3 linked regions of the Oryctolagus cuniculus genome follow. The protein of the gene in region 1 binds, or shares a complex with, the protein of each later gene. Links are inferred from orthologs where the notes say so. Each region holds a gene or a part of one and is shown on either strand. Other genes may lie near its edges.

The links.
Region 2: the proteins of guanine nucleotide-binding protein G(q) subunit alpha (region 1) and PLCB3 are in contact, whole or in part, in a cryo-EM structure (PDB 8UQO), measured with the Homo sapiens proteins. The link is inferred for Oryctolagus cuniculus from reciprocal best matches to the Homo sapiens genes GNAQ and PLCB3. Residues at the interface, in NP_002063.2 of Homo sapiens: Pro185, Thr186, Thr187, Ile189, Glu191, Pro193, Arg202, Gln209, Arg210, Ser211, Glu212, Arg213, Arg214, Lys215, Trp216, Ile217, His218, Val240, Glu241, Glu245, Glu249, Glu250, Ala253, Leu254, Arg256, Thr257, Ile258, Thr260, Tyr261; in NP_000923.1 of Homo sapiens: Pro257, Arg258, Leu259, Asn260, Glu261, Val262, Leu263, Arg707, Asp709, Lys710, Ile719, Asp721, Gly722, Ile723, Val724, Ala725, Ser845, Asp846, Tyr847, Ile848, Pro849, His852, Tyr855, Ala856, Ala858, Leu859, Ile860, Asn861, Pro862, Ile863.
Region 3: the proteins of guanine nucleotide-binding protein G(q) subunit alpha (region 1) and F2RL1 are in contact, whole or in part, in a cryo-EM structure (PDB 9D0A), measured with the Homo sapiens proteins. The link is inferred for Oryctolagus cuniculus from reciprocal best matches to the Homo sapiens genes GNAQ and F2RL1. Residues at the interface, in NP_002063.2 of Homo sapiens: Arg37, Ile323, Tyr325, Asp346, Ile348, Leu349, Gln350, Asn352, Leu353, Glu355, Tyr356, Asn357, Leu358, Val359; in NP_005233.4 of Homo sapiens: His108, Pro109, Ala110, Met114, Gln172, Arg173, Val176, Ile177, Pro180, Met181, Gly182, His183, Ser184, Arg185, Met265, Met268, Leu269, Met274, Asp275, Asn277, Lys280, Lys281, Arg284, Ala285, Leu288, Ile289, Tyr344, Tyr345, Val347, Ser348.

Annotation. Positions count from the first base shown.
Region 1 is NC_091432.1:152,214,010-152,223,537, reverse strand, and holds the start of guanine nucleotide-binding protein G(q) subunit alpha, read right to left. Parts: upstream 5,301-9,528; 5' UTR 5,110-5,300; coding exon 4,974-5,109; intron 1-4,973. Other genes in the region: uncharacterized protein, read left to right, coding at 6,223-6,443, 6,709-6,814.
Region 2 is NC_091432.1:7,051,169-7,060,258, reverse strand, and holds part of PLCB3 (1-phosphatidylinositol 4,5-bisphosphate phosphodiesterase beta-3), read left to right. Parts: intron 1-2,159; coding exon 2,160-2,237; intron 2,238-2,508; coding exon 2,509-2,577; intron 2,578-2,652; coding exon 2,653-2,793; intron 2,794-2,947; coding exon 2,948-3,027; intron 3,028-3,105; coding exon 3,106-3,159; intron 3,160-3,230; coding exon 3,231-3,306; intron 3,307-3,391; coding exon 3,392-3,492; intron 3,493-3,961; coding exon 3,962-4,128; intron 4,129-4,700; coding exon 4,701-4,847; intron 4,848-5,081; coding exon 5,082-5,322; intron 5,323-5,442; coding exon 5,443-5,527; intron 5,528-5,607; coding exon 5,608-5,794; intron 5,795-6,333; coding exon 6,334-6,527; intron 6,528-7,580; coding exon 7,581-7,677; intron 7,678-7,754; coding exon 7,755-7,839; intron 7,840-7,993; coding exon 7,994-8,118; intron 8,119-8,299; coding exon 8,300-8,454; intron 8,455-8,549; coding exon 8,550-8,711; intron 8,712-9,080; coding exon 9,081-9,090. UniProt on the Homo sapiens protein: Catalyzes the production of the second messenger molecules diacylglycerol (DAG) and inositol 1,4,5-trisphosphate (IP3).
Region 3 is NC_091445.1:1,241,651-1,250,740, forward strand, and holds the end of F2RL1 (proteinase-activated receptor 2), read left to right. Parts: intron 1-4,072; coding exon 4,073-5,184; 3' UTR 5,185-6,232; downstream 6,233-9,090. UniProt on the Homo sapiens protein: Receptor for trypsin and trypsin-like enzymes coupled to G proteins.

The sequences.
Region 1 (9,528 bases):
AAAAGCTTTTTCAGGCCCTTAAAAATCCATGTGTAATAAAAATTCTAACTACAGACACTTCTGAAAACTGAACCTAAGCCATCTCTCAAACAGTGAAGCTGAATTGCTGTTGTTGTTGTTTTTTTTTTTATGAAAAGGAGGTTATCAAAGTTATTTGTAGTAAACAAAATGGCTATTAAATTATTCTTCTGGTTCTCCTTTCCAAACTCACCTAAAAATATCTGAACAGATACTCACGAAATAAATTCACTGTTGGGTAGGGTTTGAATCCGGGCCAAAGTGCCCACAGGAAGAAATAACCTAAGCACAGGACTGACTGTCACATGCCATCCACATAGCTCAATACAAGATCTCACTCTGAAGGCACTGCTACACAGTCAGGGCTACAGGCAGATTTTCATGACGGATGTCTCCACTTCACTCTTCAGGTATAAACTTTAAGGACTTTGATCAAAGGAATAAAAAAAATAAAAAAGAGGGAATGCATCCAAATAAATCCTGACATTTAGAAACATACTCAACACTCAGAAGCTAACAGTAGCAAAAAATAAAACTGGCTGATCCTTAAAGCAGCTTCATCAACACCATATTCTGGTCTTTCCAGGGAGATGATATTATTAGGGTTGGTGGAGAAATGCTTTCATTCTAGAGTTCTAAGGAGCACCTCTAGACAGCCAGCAGCCTCTAGGTTAACTGCAGCCATCAACCTGCCCAGCCCTCCCCCATCCCCAGTCTACTAAGGACAGAGGGAAGGGTGCTTTGATCCAAAGGTGTGCATGAATGAACCCTCCATATAGTCTAAATTGGCCAGAACATTCCCAGGCTTCCGAGTCTCTTCTTGCTCTCCAACTGTTCAGCGTTCAGTACAAGATGTATGCCCCTTGTATCAAAAAATGTTCCATCTGCAATCCCTAGAATTCTGTATTTACCCATTGTGGTTTTCCTCATGTAACATTGTTAAGTAAATCACAAAAATCTGTTTGGTCATCATCTGTTCTCAACAGAATATTAAAAATTCACTCTGCTAAGTGCATCATAGAGAAAAATGTCTGGCAAAAAGACAACAGGGTTAAACCACCCACTACATGATAAAAAGGTAATCAAGATGACAACAGGTTTTTTTCCTTTAAATTTTCACTTTGGGCAAGACTGTTCCATTCGCAGTGTACCCAGCACAGAACTGTAATATACAGGATCAACTATGTGATGCATTTGTAACCAACTGGCTCCAACAGCCACATACAATTTTCAAAAGATCATGATTTTATGTGCTGTAGATAAAAACATTACCTATCCCTCTGGCTCTTATAATTTATTCATTATTATCAGATCCCAACTTCTAGCAGGAGGGTCACAAATAAAATCTTTCATTCAGCAAATACTTTCTGAGGGCATTCTATGAGTTAGAACATGTACAACAAGCTGAGATTTAATAGTGAACCAAATAGACACAATCTCCATGCCTACAATCTTGCAGTGCAGAATAGGAATAAAATCTACAGCCATGCATGTAATTCAGTTCAGAAAACCAAGACCGCATTCATTTAACATTGACCTAAACTTTGCCTTCCTTCTCTCACTTCCTTCTCTGCCTCCCCTTCCTGCTCTCTCTTCTCTACCTCTCCCTCCCTCTCCCTCCCAAATTCGCAAAATCTTCCTATTTGATGATTATGATCTAAACAGAAAAGATGTCAAACATGCATAAAATAAGAGCAGGTTAAGAGGGGAAAAAGTGTATCTTCTAGGAATTGAAAACAATTTCACAATGAACATCTATAACCCAAGGCAAGCATTTGGGACAACTTGTTTTACAGACCTGAAGACAAATTAATATTAAATGGTGTGGCCCATGTACTACTGAAAGAAATATTTAGTGAATTCATGAATATTAATCAAAGCAAATATAATGTACTTTTCACCTAGAAAATACATAAAAACAGCAGTAAAGTTAAAACAGAGCATGCTTTTGTATGTCTATGTAGAATACAAAGTTTCCTTAGGTGTCAAAGAAAACAATCACTAAAGTAAATAAATTAAGAGAATAATTTTAAGAAAATATGAACTCAGAAATTAAGAAGATATTCTTAAGGTGGTAGATTTCAGGGTTCATTTTTAAAAAGATTAAAAATTAAAATATGCAAGTACTGCAGAATAAATTTGGAAGACATTACCATAATGGCTGGATATGAATCAAAACAGCACAAATTCTACTGCCACACTTCTGTGTCGTCAGCCAAACACTACTTTCCTTCTCTAATTCCTCCATATTATTAATATATATTAAATAGTTGTGTGAACAAATGCAAGGGTACACACATTTATCCCTACCACACAATTCCTTTAAATGCTGCCATGTCTTAAATTAAAATTTACTTTGAAAATAATTTTATCTTGCATTTCATTTACTATAAGGTTGATTCCTCCATTTAAGTAGGTAGTTTAAAATACCAGATCTTTAGACACTCTGAGAGAACACATTCTGTAACCCCCTCCCTCGGGGTAGGCTCTGTGTAAATGAAGGAAGGATCGGGAAAATTCAGGGTACTCATCAGAGCAGCACAGCAGAAATCCCTCTGCCGGAAGCCGCCCCGTTACCCTTCCCTGCTCAGCTCAGCCCTCGGCTCCCTCCTGGACTCACCCACCATTCACACACAGGCACACATCTACATTCAGCACCTATCTTTACCACGTGAGTAGTGTGGGCACTGCACTGGTTAAGTCACAAAAGCCACACGCCTAGAACATGAAGTAGGAATTCCTAACGATGTGTGAGGATCAAGCTTCTGTCAGAGAGATGCATTTTCAAATGGCACTCATGAATGTAGATGCTCAATTAATATCCTATTTTTCTACCACTTCTAATGGGCCATAGTATGGGGATGAGGTGGGCCATATGAAACCCTACTGAAATGTCTAATAAGAGCGAAGTCTCCACACCACCACCACGTAAGCTGTGAAACTGTACCTTACATTTTTCTTTCCTCAGAAAATGATCTCCCGGTTCATTCCATAAAAGCACAGCACAGGGCATGTAATTAAGCCTCTATGGAAGTGTTCTTCCCTCTTGGGCATTCAAACCCAGGCCCTCTGACAAAGCCCCTGTGCTAAGGCACAGCTGCTGGGAAACCCAGAGCTGTCATAGTTCAGGCCAACAGAGCTGACTGCAGAGACCTTAGACGCCCTGTTCACAGCTAAACAGAAACAAATAAAGGCAGTAAACAGGGCAAAAGGAAAAGAAAACCCAGCTCTTCAAACAAGTCTCTCTTCACCACATGTTTTCTCCCCTGAATTCTGTATTTAAACACCTTCCCTTGTTCTCTCCACTTTCTTCTCAATCCCGAGAATTCAGAAAATGTTCAACCTCCAAAATGAGAATAAAATTTAAAAAAAATATATTTTTTTAAAGAACCTCACTTTCCAAGCGCAGTGTTTCCCTCCCCCGGCTTCACGGCCTCAAGCCCACCTCTTCCCCCCAGCCCGCTGCCTTCTGTTCCTTTATGAACCTGTGTACATTTGTCTAACAGGGCTTCAGAAGGAAGACACACAGCCCGGCGAGCAGAGTAGCCATTCGTAAGTACGGGTGGCCCTGTTATTTTGTTCCTGTTTGCAAAGGATCCAGTGCACGAGCAGTTGAGTCCCCAAAGACAGTTGGTTCTCCAGCAGATGGAATGCTCAAGATAAGAGAGGGAATACAGGCTTCTGCCACCCGAACTGCCCAGACCACACTCTCTCCTGTCGGAGACGCGCATTTATTATGCACACACAAACACGCAGAACACAAGTGCAGACGTCCTCCAGGCCTCTGCCGACCACAATAGCTCCGGGTGCCCTCACGCTGGCTTGTCTGTGAACCCTGGTGGCCTGATTCCGAGCATTCTCTCGGAGGTAATCATCCATAGACGCCTATTCGAGAGACGGCATTCTCTTGCTAACTTCGCGTGAAAGCAGAACGCGGGGCTGTTGATTCAGAGACCAGAGGGAAATTTTCCTTTGCAGCCCTGATGCCCAAGACACTACAATGCTGTCCGTTTCAAACAAAAGGTTTCTCTCTTTCCCCCGGAGAGGGACGGAAAGGCTGCGGTACTGTTGTGAATTCAGGCCTAGATCTGGGATGCCTCATTAGACAAAAGATACCCGTCGCTGTCAACAACCACGCCAGCCACGCTCCCCTCGCCCCGGTCCTAATCCGGAAGGAATGGTGCAGCCGAGAAGCACGCCTGCCACCATCCACTGGCCAAGAAACTCTGCTGGGCCCCTCCTGTGGGTGGCCTGGTGGCTGCAGAAGAACACTCGGGTGACACACGGGGGCTTGCCCGCCCTCCCCGCCCCCACCCCACGAACCCCTGGCTGGGGAGGGTCGACCCCTGCTGGGCTTCTAGTTTTCACCCCTGGGGATCCCACTCGCCAGTCTGCCCACCGGTGGCTCCCCCACTTCTCCTGGACCCCAGAACGCACCGATAATGGATGCACAACGGCCACCTCACGGCGCGCCATCTCCCCCCCGCCCGCCCGCGCCCTGTGCCCCGGCTCGGCTCGCCACCCTCCGGGCGACATACACACACACACACACACACACACACACAGCTCCACCACCCCTGGGGGCGCGGCGGCCCCGGCGCTGCAAGTTCAAGCCCTCAGCCCACCTTCCCAGCCCCGCGCCCCTAGCCAGATCTGATCTGCCATTGAGCAGAGACACCGCAGAGAACGCAAGCCCCCCCCACAACAAGGGACACACAAGACAGCACGCGCCGAGGCACCCAACAAGGCAGCCCCGAACCCTCCGCGCGCACGGGCGTGTGTGTGCGCGCGCGCGCGTACCCGCGCGGGTGCGGGTGGAGGCCGGGGGCGCGCCCGGGGAGGGTAGGGGCGAGCCCGGGGGCTGGGGGCGGCTGCCCGGAGGGGCCGGAGGCGGGGGCTGGGGGCGCGCAGAGGCCCGGGGGAGGGCCCGCACGGCCGGCCCGGGCCGTACTCACCCAGTAGCAGCAGTTTGAGCTCCCGGCGGGCGTCCCGCTTGTCCCTGCGGAGCTGCCGCTCGATCTCGTCGTTGATCCGCCGGGCTTCCTTGGCCTCCTCGCTCAGGCAGCACGCCATGATGGACTCCAGAGTCATTCTTCCAAAGTGCCTCCGCTGCAGCCCCGCCGGCACCCCCTGCTCACACGCGCGCACACACACACCCTCCCGCCCTCGCTCCCCCGAGGCAGCGGTGGCCGCTGAGCCCCCGCCGCCTGGGCGCGCGTCCGGGATGAGATCGCGGAACCGCCGCGGGGGCGACGGCCAGGGCCGGGGCCACCAGGTGGGCCGGGGTCTAGGCGGGCGCAGGAGGCCTTCGCCGCCCGGCGGAGCGAGGCGGGCGCGGGAGGCGGCCGCGGGCGCTGGCTCGGGGGGCGCGCAAGGGAAGGCCGCCGCGCCCGGCCTCGCTCAGACGCCCGCGCCTCCTTCCCCGGGAACGGGCAGCCCGCCTCGCCCCCCGCGCCGCCGCCGAGGCTCCCCTACGGTTTGCGCCCGGCGGCGAGAGCACATCCACCGGGGCGCCCCCCTAGCGAGCGGCCGCCGACCGCTCCCCGCACCCGGCGCGCCCGCTCCTCGCCGCCGCCTGACACGGCTCCCGGGCGCCCGCGGCCCTGCCCGCGCCCACCGCCCGGCTAAGCGCGCAAACCCCGCTCGCCGGCCCGGCCCGCCGCGCGCTCCTCCGCCTCCGCCTCCGCCTCCGCCTCCGCCAAACGCCCACCCCCGGCCCCGATTGCCAGGCGCGGAGCGGCTGCTCAGTGATCGCCCTCCCCCTCGCCACACACACACATTTTCTTCTTTCTCTGAACTGGAGCACAGATCCGGGAGGGAGGCGGCGGCGGCGGCGGCAGCGGCGGCGGCGGGAGGAGGCGGAGGAGGAGGAGGGGCAGGAGGCGGAGGCGGAGGGACGGGCGCGGGAGGCGGAGCCGCCCGGCCCCTCTTGGAAGGCTCTCCCTGGGCTCGCAGCCGCGCGCCGCGCCGCCCAGTGCGGCTCTCGCCTCGCTCGCGCAGCTCCCTGACTGGGCCGGCCCCCTCAGGCTCCGCGGGCGCCGCCCTCTCCCGCGCCCTCCGTGGAGGCCGGCGGGCTCCGGCGGACGCAGCCGCCCTCGGCTAGGGGCAGGGCCCGCTGACAGCCGCTCGGGTTGAGCGGGCGGCTGCGACCGCGGGCCGGAACCCCGGCAACCTGCGGCCGCCCGGGCGTGGTGGAGCGGGAATATGGCGGCCTCCGCCTGCCTCTCAGCCCACCAGCCCCGGAGCGCCGCCTCGGCCCCGCCTGGAAGCCGCGGGAGTCGGCCCCGAGCCCATGCACCGGCTGGCGCCGGAGACCCCCTGCCCGGCTCCCCGCTGGCAGCGCCGGAGACCCCCTGCCCGGCTCCGCGAGGCCGCTGTGCGGTGGCCTCTGTCTTTTCCCGAGGTTATTCCTCAAACGCCATTCGGTTAGAAGCTGCCTCTCGTCACTACTGACCCCAGTTGAATCTTAGAAAATACGATTCTCTCCGGGTGGGCTGTGGCCGGAGAGGAGTGGTCACTGCCTCCCCGAGGGGTAGGGGGCGAGGACCCTGCAATTCACTTGAGATAGAAATCTGAGCAGAAAAATGAAGCTGCCCAAGTTGCCGGGAGCTTCCTGGCAGGCTCCAACTTTTCATGCTGTTGAGGTGATTTTGGTTTTGGTTTTCTGTTGTTCTTGTTTCCGTTTTACAGATGCTCCTCGTTTTTGAAAAGGCACGCGATGTTTTCACAGCCAAGTCACCGAATGTACCCTGCTCCACCGAGATGGAACTTATGGGTGGCTTCTGGGAGCATGTAAATCCGTGCGGGATGAAAGAAAAGAATAAAAAATTTTAAATGGGAAAATCAAGATTTGTTTCTAGGTTTTTTTTTTTCTTATTTTTCCTTTTCCACTTCCGGTTAAGTTTATGTAAAAGTGTTGCGTATGTGTTTCGTGGTGATCTTCCCGATAAGTAACAACAAGAAGTTTGCTCCTTCAGGCTTGATTTGGCCTGAAAGCTGCAAAAAGCCAAGCTCTTCCGCCTCCAGCCTTGATGGAAACCGAGGTCTTCAGGGTAAATGGTGTTTTCTGAAGAGAATCGCTGTTCCACGTTTGCTGGGAGATGCTCCTGGTGCCACGGCTGTGCTACTGCTGCAGGCCAGGAATGCACCCTGGGTTCATGGACACCAGGTGTGCGACTTCCTTCCTTCATTTATCATTTCCTCCAGCCCTTCACACACACTCCAAGCCAGCACTTAGATTAAGCAAGCCATCAAAACATAAAATCTATATTTTTTAAAAGGATTTTTGGCCAAGGAAAATGATTGAGTTTCACCTTGGCCAGGAGAGTAGAATGAGCAAATTTATACGAATGACTACAAAGAACCACTACACTTGCTATGGAATGAAAATTTAAATATCAGTGACAAAAGAAATGAAAAGAATGGCATTCAATATGCAGTGATGTAAAATGGCTTCACGGGAAAACCTGATATGGTTGTATCCTGTAATACATGGATATATGTGAGTAGGAGAAATACAAAACACTGGAAACCAAATAGCTCTCTTGAGCTTCAAATTGGGTTTCCTAGCCTAGTGTCCTCTGAGACTTGAAAATGTCTTTCAAAGTGTGCCAGAAAACTATCAGAAGACTATCAGTACATTTGACCTATTGCTTGATGAAAGAAATTAAACTGCTTCAACAGATCTCAGATATAAACTTTTGTCATCCCCTATTCTCAGCATCAGAGACATACCCTGGCTGGCTGTTACTAGATATATGAATTGTCATGACAAGTATTAGGAACAAATCAAGAAGTGAGGAAAACCAAAACTCTAGTGATAAAACAATGTCTAGGTGTCAAGAAGGAAGCAGGAAAAGAAAGTCCTAATCTGAATGCAGATGAATCCAAAAATTCTTTGATATTATCTGGAAAGCATGTGCCTAGCAAATATTCCTACAACCAAAATCAAACAATCCATGCAGAAATTACTGATGTTGACTCTGTCCTAGAAGCGTTAGGGAACTAAACATGGATCCTATTACAAAATTCCAGGTTTTTAATCAACAAGCATTTACTCATTACCTACCCTGTATCAGTAACTAGTGGTGAAGGTCCAAGAAGACACGCCTACTAAGATAAGATATGGTCTTTACCCTCAGTAGGCTTAATAGTCTAAAGGAATAATGAGCCTCTGAACAGCCAAAATGAAACACAAAGTGAAGTCAGGTTGTATTAAAGTTGTGATAGAAGTCACAATGTAAAGAAAGAAAAAGGAAGGAATAATTCCTTCTGTCCTCCCAGGAAAGGGGACGTTTGTACTTTAAAGAACAAGTAGATTTTCCAGAAATACATATCACATAAAAGCAAATTAGCAATAGACAATAGACCATTTTGAAAATTCAGGGCAGTTACCAGAGACCTCAAAAGCAAAGAACAAAACAGTAAGAGCATTGAACTTTAGGGGGAAAAATGGTAAAACCTTCACGTCTATGGTGCCCTGAGAAGGACACCCACCCCCACAAGCACATCACTGTGTCCCTAGGGGACTGGAAAAGAAAACAAAAAAGGCATAGTTCAGTCTCACACAGTGGTTTTGCTCTTCTAAAGGCATCTCCTGGGGAAGAAAACCTGTAGGGGTAATCCAGACACGCCTGTGGGGATGCTTCATCCTTATCTCTCAGCCCCCCTCACCTCCTCCCTCCCTCCCCTTCCCTCCAGGATCAGGAGCCGCTTGAAAGCCTGGACTTCAGCTTTCCTGACACCCAAGAGCGTGCCTAGCCGAGAACAGATCCTCAGTAAGTGATGGATAAACAAAAGAATGCCACTCACCTACATCATCCACAAACACGCTCGCAGACTGCCAGTGCAGGCAGTGTCTTATGCCAGATGCCCGAGGCATACAAAGTCGTTAAAGACTCTATAATCTATTTGGGCAGACAGTCCTCATGCATAAAGGAATACTCCACAGACTGCAGAGTTCAGGAGGAGGACCAGTTACATAAGCCACCATTCAAAGGAGGGTGGGAAGGCACATGATGGTCCCCTGAGAGACAAATTAGGGGGCAGGCGTTTGGTACAGCACATGAGTAGACACTTGGGATGCCCGTATCCTGTATTGGAGTGTGTGGTTGGAATTCCAGCTCTTTGACCTCCCTACCCAGCTTCCTCTTAGTGCTTACTTTGAGAGGCAGTAGGTGGTGGCTCAAGGGCTTGGTCATCGCCCACCCATGTGGCAGACACAGATGGAGTTCTGGGCTCCTGGATTCAGCCTGGTGGGCTTTTGGAGGGTGAACCATGGAAGATTCTCTCTCTCTCTCATGTGCCTGCCTTTCAAATACAATGAGAAATTTTTAGAAAGACCAGCTGGAAATCAACCTGAAGCACCGCAGGTCCTACAAGAGCTGGGAACTAGCAGCTCTGTGCAGGCCTTGCAGGCACAGCTGCCTGTCCAAGGTATACAAGGGGCTTGGTGGAGATGTAGGCCCAGAGAGGCTCAGAGAGCTTCAAATGGCGCCACCTAGGGGAAAA
Region 2 (9,090 bases), about 150 Mb from region 1:
CCCGCCTCGGCATGGCCCCCACACCCCTGCCCGGCACGGGGCTCCCTGGCTGGAGGACCCCGACCTCCACTCTGGCTGGGGGCATCCTCGTCTCTGGTGGGCGCCGCTGGGCCCCCGCTGGCCCATTCAAACCTTCCCCACCCTCCTGGGCTGGTGCCCGGGCCCGGCGCCCCGCGTCACCCCCCAAGTTCACCCACCCCGGGAACTTTGCTCCCCCTCCTTAGCCTCGGGACTTTGAACCCCAACGAGCCCTCTCCCCTTGTCTGCCTCCGCCGCTCCCCGGACGCCCAAGCTCCCACCTGCGCTGCCGCCCGCGGCCTGAGCCCCACCCACGGTCTCGCCGCCCCTCTCTGGCCCCCAGGGCCTCCACCCCGCCGGCCGGCTCCTCGCCGCTCCTTCCCAGTCAGGCCATAGGCCTGGAAGACTCGGCTCCTTTCCGGCTGGGTGGGGCGGGTAGGCGTGGGAGCTGGGGGGAGGGGCTGGGGGCGTGGCCCGGGCGGCAGGTGTGCCGGCCCGGGTGCCCCGGCGCCCCGTGGGGGGCCCGGGGAGACCCCTCCCCTAAGGCGGGCCAGAAGGGAGAAGTTTCTCCTTTGCCTTCCAGTCTGATAAACCCAAATAAGGAAGTGGAGGCCCGGAGAGGACCCTGGGGGTGGGGTAGGGGTGCTGCCAAGGGCTTGGGGCTGCCGGGCTGGGGCCTGGGCTGCCTTGGAAGGCAAGACCCTCGGGAAAGGGCTGGGGAGGGGCCTGGGGGTGCCCACAGAACCCCCCCCCCAGTACTGGGGGCTTCAGCTGTAGGGCAGCCTTGGGGATCCCAGCAGGACTGGCGCTGGGTGTCAGCACCCTGAGCTGGGGAGGCCCATGTACCCCAAAAGTTCCAGGGGCCTCCTGTGCCTTCTGTCCCCAGATCCACCCCCACCCCTGATCCCCGGTCTCTGTAAGCAAGGTTGGGCGGGGCTGGCGCTGTCCCGTTCTGCGGATGAGGAGACTGAGGTGGGGAACGCAGGGTCCTGCTCCTCTGCCTCTGGGTCCCTGCCTTGGGCCTGCAGCAAGACGGGCGGCCTGGTCTCGCGGCCTGTACAGTGGGGACGCACTGGCACGGAGCTGCGAGGGCGGAGGGCGGCCGTGGTGATGCCGGCATCGCCCACCAGACAGCGGCCCGCTGGGGGTGGCCCCTGGGGTGCGCGGGAGCTGAGGCGGGAGAGGTCTCCCAGCTCCCAGCTCTCGGAGTCACGCGGTGACCGTGGAGTATGCCGGGGACTGGGCCCCCAGAAAGTGGGGCCGAGACCCTTCTGCCCCTGGGACGACCCGAGCCGGAGCTCCCTGCCTGGTTCCGAGGCGGGGCGAGCGTCCCCCAGGGACTCGCGCTTCTGGAAGGTGGAGCCTCGGGGAGCCTGGGCAGCACAGGGTCCCATGGGACTCGGCAGCTGGCGGGGTCAGGCTTTGCAGCCTCTGTCCCGTCAATATTCCATGGTGGGCTGCTGGAGTGGGGGCTCCAACCGTCACAGGGCCCCGGGACCTTTGGGGTCCGCGGAGCCCAGGGCGGGGGCTAGGGAGGTGGGCTGGATTTCCGGGATTAAGAGGGAGAGGCCGGCGTCGCAGCTCACTAGGCTAATCCTCCACCTAGCGGTGCCGGCACACCGGGTTCTAGTCCCGGTCGGGGTGCCGGATTCTGTCCCGGTTGCCCCTCTTCCAGGCCAGCTCTCTGCTGTGGCCCGGGAGTGCAGTGGAGGATGGCCCAAGTGCTTGGGCCCTGCACCCCATGGGAGACCAGGATAAGTACCTGGCTCCTGCCATTGGATCAGCGCGGTGCGCCGGCCGCAGCGGCCATTGGAGGGTGAACCAACGGCAAAGGAAGACCTTTCTCTCTGTCTCTCTCTCTCACTATCCACTCTGCCTGTCAAAAAAAAAAAAAAAAAAAAAAGAGGAAGGGAGATAGGGCAGTGAGTGACCCAGGTGGCCATACCTTAGGGTGGTGCTGGGGCCAGAACACAGGCCGCACCCAGGATCTTGGTTTTGTCCTGAGGGCCTTGGGCAGCCTGGGGGGGGGGTGTGTGGCTGCAGCAGGCGTTGTCTCGGCCACTACTGGACACCGTGGCGTGGCGGCTGGAGGGGTCAGCAGCCCTCACTCCCTGACCCTGGCTGTCCTGTGCTGTCCCCAGGAGGCCTCCAGTCGGAACCTGGTGACCCTGCGCGTGGACCCCAATGGCTTCTTCTTGTACTGGACGGGACCCAACATGGTGAGGGCTGGCGCTGGCGCGGCTCACTTAGGCCCAGGGCCCCTGCCCCAGACCTGCGCCCTGCCTGAACCTCTACCCCCACTGCTGGGGGTGGGGCCCGGCGGCTGGCTCTGACCTCTCCCACGGCTCCCCAGACAGGAAGTGCTAAGGGTGGGGGCTGAGGCTGGGGCCACAGCCAGGAGGTGGCCACTCCCTGCTGGGTGTGGAGCCTGGGGGGCTCCTAGCTCCTGCCTGCAGCCTCGCAGACGCACCGTGGCCTCTGGTTCCCCAGGAAGTGGACACACTGGACATCAGTTCCATCAGGGACACGCGGATAGGCCGTTACGCCCGCCTGCCCAAGGTGAGTGAGGGCCCGGGACGGAGCACGAGAACCGGGCTGGGGGCGCCTGCTCACCCGCGGCCCTCCTCCACTCAGGACCCCAAGATCCGGGAGGTGCTGGGCTTCGGGGGCCCCGATGCCCGGCTGGAGGAGAAGCTGATGACGGTGGTGGCCGGGCCGGACCCGGTGAACACCACGTTCTTGAACTTCATGGCCGTGCAGGAAGACACTGCCAAGGTGAGCTGGGGCTGGGGGCGCCCCCAGGGTCTCTGCCCCCCTGGCTGAGTTGCTGCTCTCTGACTTGCTGGGTGCGGGCCGTGGCTGGGCTGGCCCCCGGCCCCCACTCACCACGGCCCCCCACCCCACCCTGCCCCGTGCGTGCTGCCCCCAGGTGTGGTCCGAGGAGCTGTTCAAGCTGGCCATGAACATCCTGGCTCAGAACGCCTCCCGGAACACCTTCCTGCGCAAAGCGTGAGCCTGGGCCGCTGGGGGGAGGGGTCTAGGTGGGCATCCCCGGGTGTGACCTTGCCACCGCCACCCCCAACCCAGGTACACGAAGCTGAAGCTGCAGGTGAACCAGGATGGACGGATCCCAGTCAAGAAGTGAGCACCCCCTCCCCCCCACAGCCTCTCCTGCCCCACCCCGGCGGCACTGACCCTGACCCCCCCTACAGCATCCTGAAGATGTTCTCCGCAGACAAGAAGCGGGTGGAGACCGCGCTGGAGTCCTGTGGCCTCAATTTCAACCGGGTGTGTGGGGTGCAGGGTGCCCCCCGCCCCAGCCCAGGGCTGGCTGTCGTCCCTGGGGTCTCACCACACACCCCTCGGCCCCCAGAGTGAGTCCATCCGGCCTGATGAGTTTTCCTTGGAGATCTTCGAACGGTTCCTGAACAAGCTGTGCCTGCGGCCGGACATCGACAAGATTCTGCTGGAGATGTGAGTGGGGCTGGGCCCTGCCCCCGGCTCCCGGCGCCCCCGGCCGGCCTCTGCTGAGTGCACCTTCAGCCCCGGGCGCGGGAGGGTGCTGCCCGTGCCAGAGCAGCAGGGGCCGGGCGGGGGCGTGGCCGCGGCTCCTGTTCCGGACAGCTTTGGGCTGGCCTCCTCTGGTGCTGTCCTCAGTCAGTCCACTCTGGACGAGGGCCCAGGGCTCCGCTGCGTCGCACCTGCCTGAGGTCCAGCACGCAGTGCGGGAGGACTGGAGGCGACCCGAGGCCTGGGACGGTGGCTGAGTGCCAACTCGTCTGGCGCCCCGACGGCACCCAGCGGTCAGGAGAGCTGCTGGGGCACCCGAGGCCCCGTGTCCCAGCCAGCGGACGCTGGGGGCAGCTGCAGCCCTCTGTCTCCCAGGGCCGGGGCTGGCGAGGCTGCAGCCTGACCCGGCACCCCCCGTCCCCTCCTCCCCCAGCGGCGCCAAGGGCAAGCCGTACCTGACGCTGGAGCAGCTCATGGACTTCATCAACCAGAAGCAGCGGGACCCGCGGCTCAACGAAGTGCTGTACCCGCCCCTGCGGCCCTCCCAGGCCCGCCTGCTCATCGAGAAGTACGAGCCCAACCAGCAGTTTCTGGAGCGAGGTGAGGGGGGCACAGGTGCCCTGGGAGAAGGTGGGGGGGGTGCTCCCGGGAGTGAGGTGAGGGGGGCACAGGTGCCCTGGGAGAAGGTGAGTGGGGGGGTGCAGGTGCTCCCGGGAGTGAGGTGAGGGGGGGGTGCAGGTGCTCCCGGGAGTGAGGTGGGGGGGGGCACAGGTGCCCTGGGAGAAGGTGGGGGGGGCAGGTGCTCCCGGGAGTGAGGTGAGGGGGGCACAGGTGCCCTGGGAGAAGGTGAGTGGGGGGGTGCAGGTGCTCCCGGGAGTGAGGTGAGTAGGGGGGCAGGTGCTCCCGGGAGTGAGGTGAGAGGTGCAGGTACTCCCGGGAGTGAGGTGAGAGGGGCAGGTGCTCCCGGGAGTGAGGTGAGTGGGGGGGTGCAGGTGCTCCCAGGAGTGAGGTGAGAGGGGCAGGTGCTCCCGGGAGTGAGGTGAGAGGGGCAGGTGCTCCCGGGAGTGAGGTGAGTGGGGGGGTGCAGGTACTCCCGGGAGTGAGGTGAGTGGGGGGTGCAGGTGCTCCCAGCAGCGGGAGGGCCCCAGCTGACCCTCTGACCCCGGCTCCAGATCAGATGTCCATGGAGGGCTTCAGCCGCTACCTGGGCGGGGAGGAGAACGGGATCTTGCCCCTGGAAGCCCTGGACCTGAGTGTGGACATGACCCAGCCCCTGAGCTCCTACTTCATCAACTCCTCGCACAACACCTACCTCACGGGTGAGCCCACGCCCTCGCCCTCACCCCCTGCTGGGCGCACGCAGGGCCTTCGGCACAGCTGCCTGTTCAGTAGCCAGTGCGGGGGTGGGGGGTGGGGGGCTGCCTGCAGGCAGGGAGGGCGGGGCTGGGGCCTCCTGGGGTTAAGGACTGGCTGGGGACTGGCTAGAGCGGGGTGGTGGTGGGAGCAGAGGGCGTGGCGGGCGGGTGGCCGTGGTGACACCCCCTGGCCCCCAGCGGGGCAGCTGGCCGGGACGTCCTCGGTGGAGATGTACCGACAGGCCCTGCTGTGGGGCTGCCGCTGTGTGGAGCTGGACGTGTGGAAGGGGCGGCCGCCCGAGGAGGAGCCCTTCATCACCCACGGCTTCACCATGACCACCGAGGTGCCGCTGCGCGACGTGCTGGAGGCCATCGCCGAGACCGCCTTCAAGACCTCGCCCTACCCCGTCATCCTGTCCTTCGAGAACCACGTGGACTCGTGAGTGGGGGCCCCGAGCCGGCCCCCCCCCCGGCTCTTCCCCCACCGACCCGGGGCCGCTCACCTGTCCTGTGTGCAGCTGCCCCCAGGGACCTCTGACCTCTGACCTCGGCCTTGCAGGGCGAAGCAGCAGGCCAAGATGGCCGAGTACTGCCGCTCCATCTTTGGGGACGCCCTGCTCATCGACCCGCTGGACAAGTACCCGGTACGGGGCCTGGGGCCGAGGCGGCGCGGCGGGCAGGTGGGCGGCGCCCCGGCGGGCCCTGACCCTTCTGTGCCCCCCAGCTGGCCCCCGGCGTGCCCCTGCCCAGCCCCCAGGACCTGATGGGCCGCATCTTGGTAAAGAACAAGAAGCGGCACCGGCCCAGCCCTCGCGGCCCCGACAGCTCGGTGCGCAAGCGGCCACTGGAGCAGAGGAACTCGGCTCTGAGCGAGGGCTCAGCCGCCACCGAGCCCTCCTCGCCCCAGCTCGGTAGGCCCGGCCCCACCTCGCTACGCCCCTCAGCCGCCCACTCCCGGGGGGCCATCGCCCAACCCAGCTGGGGCTCTGAATTCTGACCTCTGACCTCAGCGAAGCACAGCCCCACGCTTTGGGTGTGACCCCGACCCCCGTGCTGGGACCTCCCTGACTGTCATGCACTTCGCTGGGTCTCATCTCAGCTGACCTTTGCCCTCCTCTGTGCGGGTGGGGGGTCCCTCTCTGACCCCTTGACCCCTTGCTTGGCTGGGTGTGCCTCTGATGGAGCCCGGGCCGCCGACCTCCCAGGCCATCCTGCACCCGGCCGTTAAGGCTGTTGTACCCAGCTCCTGACTTCTCACCCCTCCCCTGCTGTATGTGACTCAGACCTTCACCTTTGACCCATGACCCTGAACTACCGTGGGTTGATACCCCTGGCCTCTCCTGTCCCCAGCTACACTGCCCTGTGCAGAGTCCCCACCCCCACCCCGATGTCCCCACCATGTGCACTGGGCACACCTCGGGCATCTGCGTGTGGCCCTTGTCCTCTGCAGGGTCCCCCAGCTCTGACAGCTGCCCTGGCCTGAGCAATGGGGAGGAGGCAGGACTGGAGCAGCCCAGCCTGGAGCCTCGGAAGTCCCTGGGTGAGGAGGGCCCGAGCCGGGGCCCTTATGCTGACCGTGAGGAGGAGGAGGAGGAGGAGGAAGACGAGGAACAGGCAGACCCCAAAAAGCCGACCACGGACGAGGTCCGGTGTCCAGGCAGGGTGGCGGGGGAGGGGCTGAGAGCGCTATGGTCAGGCCCTCCTGGAGGGCGTGTGTGTTGGGGGAGGGAGTAGGGGAGGGAGGAGGCTCAGGTAAACAGGCATGGAAACGAGTGTCAATCAGGCTTTCCGTGTGGGTGGGGGCGGGGCTGAGCGCCAGGAGCTGCAGGTGCTGCGGCAGGGTCTGGTGTCACGGGGAGGGCAGAGGTGTGGGCAAGCCGTGAGCTCTGTCCGTCTCATGTCTGTCCACTGGCTGTCGTGAGCTCCGCCCGTCTCGTGTCTGTCCACTGGCTGTCGTGAGCTCCGTCCGTCTCGTGTCTGTCCACTCGCTGTCATGAGCTCCGCCCGTCTCGTGTCTGTCCACTGGCTGTCGTGAGCTCCGTCCGTCTCGTGTCTGTCCACTGGCTGTCGTGAGCTCCGTCCGTCTCGTGTCTGTCCACTGGCTGTCGTGAGCTCCGCCCGTCTCGTGTCTGTCCACTGGCTGTCGTGAGCTCCGCCCGTCTCGTGTCTGTCCACTGGCTGTCGTGAGCTCCGCCCGTCTCGTGTCTGTCCACTGGCTGTCGTGAGCTCCGCCCGTCTCGTGTCTGTCCACTGGCTGTCGTGAGCTCCGCCCGTCTCGTGTCTGTCCACTGGCTGTCGTGAGCTCCGCCCGTCTCGTGTCTGTCCACTGGCTGTCGTGAGCTCCGCCCGTCTCGTGTCTGTCCACTGGCTGTCGTGAGCTCCGCCCGTCTCGTGTCTGTCCACTGGCTGTCGTGAGCTCCGCCCGTCTCGTGTCTGTCCACTGGCTGTCGTGAGCTCTGACTTTGGGGGCCCAGAGGGGATGGATGGCGGGGCTGCCCAGAGTCGCCTTCACTGGACCAGAGTTGGAGGGGAGCAGCAGGGGGGTGATGGGCAGGAATGGCTGGGAGCGCGTGAGTGCCCGAAGCCCTGGGCGGCGGGGAGGGGCGGGCAGCGAGGGCCCGGGGAAGGGGTCAGCACCTCTCTGGGAGAGCAGGTGCGGGAGCTCCCGGCACCGCTGACACGGGGTTGGGGTCACAGGGCACGGCCAGCAGCGAGGTCAACGCGACGGAGGAGATGTCGACGCTGGTCAACTACATTGAGCCTGTCAAGTTCAAGTCCTTCGAGGCAGCGCGGAGTGAGTGCGGGGGTGGGGGGTGGGGTAGGAGGCCCGCGCCCCCGCCAGGCCTGACGCGGCCCCACCTCCCCCCGCAGAGAGGAACAAGTGCTTCGAGATGTCGTCCTTTGTGGAGACCAAGGCCATGGAGCAGCTCACCAAGAGCCCCATGGAGTTCGTGGAGTATCCTGCCCAGGGCTGCGGCGGGGCGGGGCGGGGCGGGGCTGCGGCGGGGCGGGGCGGGGCGGGGCCTGGGCAGGGCTGGGGAGCCTCCGGGGGTCGGCAGGCCCAGGGGTGCGGGCTCCAGGCAGGCGTGGCCCCTGACTGCCAACCTCAGATACAACAAGCAGCAGCTCAGCCGCATCTACCCCAAGGGCACACGCGTGGACTCCTCCAACTACATGCCCCAGCTCTTCTGGAACGTGGGCTGCCAGCTGGTCGCGCTCAACTTCCAGACCCTGGGTGAGCCCTGGCCCCCCTCGACCTTGACCCCCGATTCCGCGAGCCCCACCCGAGCGACCTCTGGCCCCGTCTAATCCCAGAAACCTGGAACCAGACCCAGACGCACGCAGACCCCGGCTGACCCCCGGACCCTGATGCCCTTTGACCCCACCCTGACCCTGTCCTGCGCCGTGGCCCCCAGACGTGCCAATGCAGCTGAATGCCGGCGTGTTTGAATACAACGGGCGCAGCGGGTACCTGCTCAAGCCTGAGTTCATGCGGCGGCCGGACAAGTCCTTCGATCCCTTCACCGAGGTCATCGTGGACGGCATCGTGGCGAACGCCTTGCGGGTCAAGGTGTGGCCCGGGAGGGCTCGGCCGGGGTGTCCCGGGGGGTGGGAGAGGAGGCGGGGCTCTCGGCAGCCGCCTCACTGTCCCGGGCCTGCCCCCAGGTGATCTCGGGACAGTTCCTGTCCGACAGGAAGGTGGGCATCTACGTGGAGGTGGACATGTTCGGTCTCCCCGTGGACACGCGCCGCAAGTACCGCACGCGGACCTCGCAGGGCAACTCGTTCAACCCCGTGTGGGACGAGGAGCCCTTCGACTTCCCCAAGGTGAGCTCTGAGCCCGGCCTCCCAGGGCCCGGCTTCCCCAGGGTGAGCTCTGAGCCCGGGCAGCTGACTCCTGCCTCCCGGGGCCTCGGCTGCCAATCCGAGCGAGGGGCCAGCCTCAGTTGTTGACCCCCAGCTCACTCTGCAGCTTCTGTGCGGGCCACGCCCTGGCTCTGCCTGTCCTTGGCTCGGGGTCCTGATGGCCCGTGGCCGTCCCCTGGACCAGGGCCACAGAGGCGTGGGCAGCCATCCGCTCAATGGCACAGGTGACCGATCGACAGCTCATCAGAGCGTTAGGTGCCGGTGGCTGTGGCGTGGTGGCCACGCAGCTGTGGGTTGGCCCCGTGGCTCAGCGCCCGTCTCGGCCCGCAGGTGGTGCTGC
Region 3 (9,090 bases), on another chromosome or scaffold:
GCAAATGGCACGCAGGTGGGGGCCACGGCATCCCGAGCGGCTTAATCGGCCGCACCGCAGTGCCCACAGCTGTGGTCTCGCTTAAGCACAACCAGGCACTGTTGCGGTACCTACTGAGAGCAGTTCCTTAACGTGATCAAACACTCGGCATCTAAATGTCTCGTTGTCTCCTAAGTGTTATTTCAGTGCTGTGTCCCTGGCCAATCCACGAGAAGTCAGACATCATCTCATGGGTCCTTTAAGGCTGTGAATCTGAGCTGCCCCCCACCCTTACTTTCCGCTGTGTAGCTCACATGTGAGAAGCTGGGCCCTGGGCTTTGCGTGCCGGGGTGTCAGTGCGTCTGTCACCCACTGTTCCTGTTGATTGGGTGCTGGGGTTCGGGTGCTTGTCTGGATGTCAGGGCCCTGGGGTGATTAGGTCATGGGGTGGAGCCCTCAAGATTGGGGTCAGCGTCCCTTCTGCACGCAGACAAGTCTGTAAGCCGACCCACGGGGCAGGCACAGGCCCTGCAGGCTGCACCCTGACCTCCCCCAGCCCCCAGACTGTGGGAAGTTCCGGATTCTGGGTTCAGCCACTGAGTGGGAGGCATGGCGGCTGCAGGGTCAGTGGCTCTGGATTCAGGTCCTCTTTCTGCCAAGGTCACCTCCCTGCTTCCTCTCACCCTCAGGCACAGCAGCTCCACTTCGGTTTTCTGTGGTCGGGTGGTCGTGGCCAGGTGGTCGTGGACCGTGGCGCACTGGGAGTGCCCTGGATGGAGCAGGCTCGGTGCGGGGGGAATGGCTTCTCCTGTGGGGACTGCGGCTGCTGCAGCTCTGCCACTCGCCCCACACGTCGGGGGTCAGGTGGAGCCCAGAGACCCTGACGGGCTTCAGGTCAAGGCAAGATGTAAACACAGGAGGTCATTTACAGAGAGTGGGTTTTAAAGTGGCAAATTAGAAAGTGTGAATATTCTGTTTGGAGCTGTAAGTTGCGTGGGTCCCTGTGGAGTGCAGCGTGGAGCCCCCGCGAGGCTGTGGAGGCTGGCGTGGTTAGGGTCGTGGGTTTTAGAGACGGGCTGGTGGGGGTGACCTCTGTCCACTGCCTGGCAGTGAGGCTGTATCAGTGGTCCCTGCTGCAAGGCCGCCATGGACTGGGAGGGCTGGAGGCAATGCTGGGCCTTGCTGGGAGGGGACGCTTACGGGACTGAGACAGTTTCATGTTCCAGAGCTCACTGCCGTCACCCTGCCGGGGCGTGGGTTTGCTGTCAGGTGGCCAAGCCCATGGCCTGGCAGGAATGGCCGCTGAGTGCGCCCCTGAGCCTCGCTCAGTCCTTCCGTGGTGCGTCTCCCCGCGTGCATGGTCCAGGGCTCGCAGTCACGTTCAGCGACTCTACAGCTGGAACTGGAGATGCTGCAGTCCGACTCCGACTGTCCAAGGCCTGAGTCTCGGCAGTAAGCAGGGAAAGAGACCTATTCCAGGGGCTGGAGCGTCCAAGGCCGGGCAGCCCCATCTGCTCAGCCTCTGGGGAAGCGCCCTTCTGGGTACATCACAGCCTGGCGATGTGTCCCGGGCAGGAGGTGCCTTGGGGGAGGCCACGTGGCAAGAGGGGAGGTGCTCTGGTGTGACAGCACGCGAGCTGACGTACCCTGTAAGGCCAGCGTGGCTGCTTCCCGAGGGCACCCACCCACCTCTCAGTCCCATCACATTGGGGACCGCGCCTCCAGCAGGCCACGTGCACGCTGTCACAGCCACTCCTGCCGCTCTGCCGGGGCGAGGATCACAGGTGCATGCTAGTTCTTGGAGCACTCGAGAACTAGTTACTCTGGAAAACAAATAAGTGGAGCATGCAGTGAAGTCAGTGTGGTGGTTGGTGTTGGGTAAGAATGGACTAGAATAGTGTGAGAGACATCAGAGTGCACGTGGGTAGTAGAGGCCATCAGGGTGCACCCTGGGAAATAGAGGCCATCAGGGTGCACCCTGGGAAATAGCACCATAGAGTACCCTGGGTAATAGAGGCCATCAGGGTGCACCCTGGGTAATAGAGGCCATCAGGGTGCACCCTGGGAAATAGCACCATAGAGTACCCTGGGTAATAGAGGCCATCAGGGTGCACCCTGGGAAATAGAGGCCATCAGGGTGCACCCTGGGAAATAGCACCATAGAGTACCCTGGGTAATAGAGGCCATCAGGGTGCACCCTGGGAAATAGCATGAGGGTGAACCCTGGGAAATACAGAGCGTCAGGGTGCATCCTGGGTAATAGACCATATCAGGATGCACCCTGGGTAATACGATGGAGGACCTAGTTTTTTTGTGACACATTTTTATGCATAGATGTATTGGGAGTGGACGTGTTTCTTCCTGTAAGTTGTGATCAAGTATTTGAAAGGCACTGTAGTGTGTAGGCATGTTCCTTTTTACTTGAACATGATGGATTCTATCTGAAAACTTACAAATGCAGTTGGAGCAGTAGCGATTGGTTTGTCCCTAGCCCCTAGCGTGTGAGTTTCCTGTAGCAGGGATGGGTTCCCTCCCCCTGCTGGAGGCAAGTCTGAAATCACTCCCTCTGAGGCTCCCGGACAGTCTGCACCTGATGCTTCCGGCTCCTGGCGGCTCTTGGCATTTACTTGGCCTTCCTAGAAATATCCTGGTCTTTCCTGGAATTCCTTGGCCGGACCTTGGCGTCAGTCTGTTCTCACACCACTTTGTCCTATGTCTCCTTTGCTGTCTCCACCTCCCTCTGCGTTTTTCTCAGAGACCCTTGTCCTAGGCTAGGCTCCCCTGGGTGATCTCAGAGCTCCTAGTGACGCCTGCAGAGCCCCTTGCCCGAGCAAGGCCAGGTTCAGTTACGGGAAACGAGACTTGGGCTGCTCTCTGGGGGCCACCTGCCAGACTGCACAAGTGGAAGGTGAGTCATGGATCCCATCACTGTCCAGCGCCCCACCCATGGTGAGCACCCTTGGTCCCCAGGGGATCTGGAGGGAGGGAGGGAGGGGTGCATGGTGGCAGTGGGGAGGGTGGTTGGGGGGTTGAGGGAGATGCAGGAGGGGCTGGCTGTCCTCTCTGGTGGTAGCCGCAGGAAGTCCCCGGGTCTCAGGCGTTAAAGTGAATTCTTGACTCCGCCCCACGCTCTCGCTCCCTCTGCTGGTGGTCTGTGGATGCTTGCTTGGGTAGTGTGCCTGTGGATTCCTTTGTGGTTTTGGGGTTAAGCTCATCCTGCGGGGAGGGAGGGGGAGCTATGCTGGAAGGCAGAGTGACTTGGTCATCAGCATCCCCTCCTGCCCCGTGACCGGGGGCCAAAGGGCTTGTCTGCCTGAGCGCGGAGGAGGGGAATCCCTGCCCCGTGCTGGGCGCAGAGGGGCTGTCCCGTATGCTGGTGGAACTCTGGGACAGGTGTGGCCGTAGGCTGCCCTGGGACAGGGGCTGGGCGGGACGTACTGTCTCACACTCTCGAGGGCTTGGGAGGCAGTTCCCGCTCAGCCTGGATGGATTTCTACCAAGTAGTTGAGAGCCAATGGGTGGGTGCAGTTTGTTAGAAAAAAATATTGAGATAGGACTGGTCTTTTTGTGATTTCCAGAAATCGGTGTTTTGGGGGGCTTCACAAGAACTTCCAGTAAAAAAAACACTTGTCGGTGCCCACGCTGTGGTGCAGCCAGCCGTGCCGCATCCCTTACCGGTGCCGGTCCCAGTCCCGGCTGCTCCACTTCCGATCCAGCTCCCTGCCAGTGGCCTGGGAGAGCAGCAGAAGATGCCCCAAGTGCTTGGGCCTCTGCTGCCCACGTGGGAGACTTGAAAGAAGCTCCTGGCTTTGGCCCGGCCCACCCCTGGCCATTGCAGCCATCTGGGGAGTGAACCAGCAGATGGAAGATATGTCTGTCTGTCTTTCTCTAATTAAATAAATCTAAAATAAATAATCTAAATAAATAAGTTGTAAAAAAAAATCACGTATTATAAAAAGCACCAAGGCAAGAACATCCCAGTCGCGCCATCCCCCAAAGCGAGCCCCTGAGCGGGCGCTGTGTCTAGAGGAGCCAGGAGCCAGGAGCCAGGAGCCAGCGTCTCCGTGGCAATGACCTTGTTTGTCTCTCACAGGGACCAACAAGACCTCTAAGGGGCGGAGTCTGATCGGCAGGAACACCGGCTCCTCGGCCGTCACTGGGAAGGGCGTCCCAGTGCAGCCGGGGCTCTCCGTGGACGAGTTCTCCGAGTCCGTGCTCAGGGGGAAGCTGACCACCGTCTTCCTCCCCGTGGTCTACACGCTGGTGTTCGTGGTCGGCTTGCCGAGCAACGCCATGGCCCTGTGGGTCTTCATTTTCCGCAGCAAGAAGAAGCACGCCGCCGTGATCTACATGGCCAACCTGGCCGTGGCCGACCTCCTGTCGGTGCTCTGGTTCCCTCTGAAGATCGCCTACCACGTGCACGGCAACCACTGGGTGTACGGGGAGGCCCTGTGCAAGGTGCTGGTGGGCTTCTTCTACGGCAACATGTACTGCTCCATCCTCTTCATGACCTGCCTCAGCGTGCAGCGCTACTGGGTCATCGTGAACCCCATGGTGCACCCCGGCAGGGCGGCCAGGCTGGCCCTCGGCGTCTCCCTGGGGATATGGCTGCTCATCCTGCTGGTCACCATCCCCTTGTACGTCGTGCGGCAGACCGTCCACATCCCGGCCCTGAACATCACCACCTGCCACGACGTGCTGCCCAAGGACGTGCTGGTGGGAGACATGTTCAGCTACTTCCTCTCGCTGGCCATCGGGGTCTTCCTCTTCCCGGCCTTCCTCACGGCCTCCGCCTACGTGCTCATGATCAGGACGCTCCGCTCCTCGGCCATGGACGAGAACTCGGGCAAGAAGCGGCGCAGAGCCGTGCGGCTGGTCATCACCGTGCTGGCCATGTACCTCATCTGCTTCACGCCCAGCAACCTTCTGCTGGTGGTGCACTACTTCCTCATCCGCACCCGGGGCCAGAGCCACGTGTACGCCCTCTACCTGGGCGCCCTCTGCCTGTCCACCCTCAACAGCTGCATCGACCCCTTCGTCTACTACTTCGTGTCGCAGGACTTCCGGGACCACGCCAAGAACGCGCTCCTGTGTCGCAGCGTGCGGACCGTGAAGCGGATGCAAGTGTCCCTCAGCTCCCAGAAGGTCTCCTGGAAGTCCAGCTCCTACTCCTCAAGCTCCACCAGCGTCAAAACCTCCTACTGAGCCCCCAGAGCTCAGGCGCAAGCGTCCGCTGACTGCTCAGGTCCCGGCCCCTGCCGCTCAGCACGGCCCAGTGCGTCCCCATCTCCGGTCCCGGCCCCTGCCGCTCAGCACGGCCCAGTGCGTCCCCACGTGCGTGGCGGGGACGTGACGCCAGTGTCCGCCTCAGGGACCATGTGCCCAGACGCTCCCTGACGCTGCGTGGCCAGCTGCAGACTTCTCAGGAAGTCGGAGAAACCAGGTCAGACGCGCGAAGACCACACTCCCGGCCCAGCCGCCATTTCTCTTGTCAGAGGTCAGCTGTGGTCTCCTTGGCCCCGAGGGCCCCCGTGGTGGTCCCCCACCCCGATCGCTGAGCTCACAGGCATGTAAGCCCCGGAGAGGTGCAGGAGCCGCCCGGCGCCAGGGCCCAGGCGGTGTCTGTGAGCTGCGGTGCCGGGTGCTCTCACTGCGCCATCAGCAGTCACCGCGGAGCAGGTGGGAAGCAGTCAGGCGAGCTAAGGCTGGAGCAGCCCCGGATCTGTGTCTGGAAGGCTGTGCCGATCGGAGCCCCCGGAGGTTGGAGAACCCCTCTCCTCCCGGTGCGCTAATGGTTTTTGAAAGCCCAGAACTTTCTGTGTCTCTTTTATGTTCACCCCATAATGAAATCTGTTGCCTTTTTGATACATTGTTTCCTTTTAAGTCCTTTGGGCTTTGTTTATTTCTGGCTATTGGAGGATTTTAAACATTGTATACTCTGCTTCTGTTGGACTTGTAAGTGACTCTGGTCTGAGTTACAGACCGCAACTGGCAGTATCCTTCACCGTTTAGTGTTGTAAAGAGTTGTTGGGATGTTTGTGGTCAGTGTTCACTCGCTGTGGGGGGGGGGGAAGGGTGTCTGGGTTTGCACCCCGTCTGCTTGGAAAATGACACCAGAGACAATGGGCTTGCGGCGCGTTTTGAGGGTGCTTGACTCCAAACCGACTGCACCGCTGTGGTCGTGACAGTTTGAGAATGATTATTTCATTGTGCTACTGATTTATAAAAAAAATGAATTTTTTTACAAATCGTCTCTGTGCTGTTTCCTTTTGTTCTGAGGGAGGCATGGGGCGGGGGAAGGGTTGTTGGTTCTCAGGGCGTGTGGGAGACCTCTGTGTTCAGGGCGGCAGACTGTCAGGTGTGCTGCAGGCCGTCCCTGCTGCCTCGAACGCTGTGTGCAGGCTTTGTGGAGAGAGAGTGGCAGGGAAGGTTCTGGAAGTGGAGTGGCCAGGTCAAAAGTTACGTGGGGATTTTGAGTTTTCACAGTGCTCGCCAAGTCATGTCTCTGCCAGAGTACCGCGTCTGCCCGGGTCTGCCTCCCGGGAGTTGTGAGGGGATGGTGAGGGGATGGTGAGTCGGCTCTGAGCGCAGGTCCCGAGCCGGGCCAGGTTCTGACCCCGCGGCCGTGGGGAAGGTGCTTCCTGGTTTTACTAGGCAGGTTGGCTGTGCCTTCCTCGTGACTTTGCAGGGTGAGTAGTGGTGTGTTTGTGCACCCTAAGCACGTGGCACTGTCGCTATCACGGTTGTCCCACCTCAGCTGTGGTTACAGCTCCGTGGTTCTAGCTCCCCTCCGCAAGTGCGGATGGAAAAGTCCAGAGGCCAGCAGCTCATGTGCTGTGACCTGGGCAGTGTCCTGAGTGGCGTGAGACAGGTTGCACTGCCGTGAGTCATCCTGCCGTCTCTGAGCCCAGTGCCTGGCGGAGGTCTGGTGGGGTCACAGCGCCTGTGCTCAGGGGCCCCTTGTTACCCCAGTCCGTGGTCCACTGTGTGCGTGAGCAGGGACTCCAGCGAGCCCCACTGTGCGCGGTTCAGTTGTGCCAAGGAGAAGCTGGGACGGTGTGGAGAGAGAGAGGCCATCGTTCATATTACTCTTTTTCCTTTGATATTCTTTTCTTTTTCTTTTTCTTTTTTTTTTTTTTTTTATTAGAGAGCGGTAGAGACAGAGAGGTGTTCCATCTGCTGGTTCGCTCCCCAAATGGCTGCAATGGCCGGAGCTGCACCAATCCAAAGCCAGGAGCCCGGAGCCTCCTCTGGATCTCTCACGTGGATGCAGGGGTCCAAGCACCTGGGCCATCCTCTGTACTTTCCCAGGTGCGTTAGCAGGGGGCTGGATTGGAAGTGGAGCGGCCGGGACTCGAACTGGTGCCCACATGGGATGCCAGTGCCGCAGGCTGGGGTTTTATCCCCCTGTGCCACCCGCCCCAGTCCATGTTACTCTTTTATAAAATAGACCCCACTCCCTTGTTCTTGTTTTTCAAGATTGTAAACATATTTATTTGAAAGGCAGTGGGGGGAGGAGAGACAGAAGTCTTCCATCTGCTGATGGACTCCCAGGAACCTGGAGCTCCAGCCAGGTCTCCGGTGTGGGTGGCAGGGACTCAGGCACTTGAGCCATCATCTGCCAGGCCCCAGGTGCATTGGCCAGGAGCCGGGTGAGAAGCAGAGCAGTGAGGATTTGAGCCAGCACAGTGATGGGGATGTGTGCGAACTCAGTGGTGGCTTCACCTGCTGCCCTGGCCCCACGGAACATCATCCTATGGTGTCGTTGCAGCCAGGCTGCCTCCCGGCACACAGGAAGTGCTGGCACAGACAGGGCGCAGCGGGCCCGTGGACCGGGGCCTCCCCGCGAGGGTGCTGCTGTGCCGTGACGGCCGCAGGCTGCCTGCCTGCCACCTGCCTGCACCGCCACTCCAGGCTTTGCTTTCTGGCCTGCCCTGCCCTGTGTCTCCCAGCATCCTGGGAGATCGGGCCCGTTTCACAGATGGGACATCGGAGGTGCTGGATGTGAGGTAAGAAAGCCGCCGCAGGTCCGAGGCCTGACCCCGGGGAGATCTTTGGTCCTTGCCGTTTCTTAATTAGTATTTTTATGATATGAGCTGTACCAAAGCATACAATGAAGCCACTTCCACTCCGCCACCTGTTTCTGTTGTCCTGTCCCAGAGCCAGCTAACGTTTGTAACAGTTTGTAGAGAATATGAGCGTTACGCTATTTAATTGATTTGGCAAGCAGAGTGGCAGAGATCTTCTGTCTGCTGGTTCACTTCCCAAATGGCCACAACAGCCGGGGAAGGGCCAGACCAAAGCAGGAGCCAGGAACTCCTGGGGTCTCCCACATGGGCAGCAGGGGCCCAAGGACTTGGCCATCTCTGCCTTGCAGGGTGTGCACTAACAGGGAGCTGGATCTGGTGTGACGTGAACCCAGGCACTCCGATAGGGGATAGGGGCATCCCGTGTGACGCCTAGCCACTGCACCCCACCACCGCTCCTGCGCCACATTCCGAGTGACGAGGTAGTGCCCTGGGTGGGTGACCTGGTCCTATTCTTGACTCATTTCCAAAAAGCCCTCGAGTGTGCGAGTTCAGGTGTGGAAGGAGGGATTTGAGAAGTGGACTCCCGGGAGTCTCCCGGAGCAGCTGAATCTTAGAAGCAAGGCCAGCGGCCAGCGGCGCCCCTGGGGGCTGGGGGGTCGGGCCGAGCACAGGCTCCTCGGAGGACGCCGGCGTGCGCTTGTTTTAGGCGCCCTGCCGCCCTCTCATTTTCTGAACCAAGCCCCGAAGCACTGAAAGTCTGACTGGCTCTCTGTGCGGGCTGTCCTGGGTTCCCAGGGCTGTGTCCTGGGCGTTTCCTGCTGTGTCACTTGGTTGGTTCTTGGTTGTTTGCCCCGGGAGTTCCTGGCCTGTGAGCTCATTAGCATGCATAGCTTTGCGCTGACACCTTCATCCCTGCAGCCTGGGGAGGACGTGGGCGTCCAACTCACAGACTCACAGACCCGCGGGAACCACTGTGGTCTGGCCCGGGACAGAAACTGCTCACCAGAGAAAGGCATGTGGACAGGCCGCCCTGACCCCCTGGTGGTTGGTTTTTTTTTTGAGACATGTTTTTGAAGGGGGG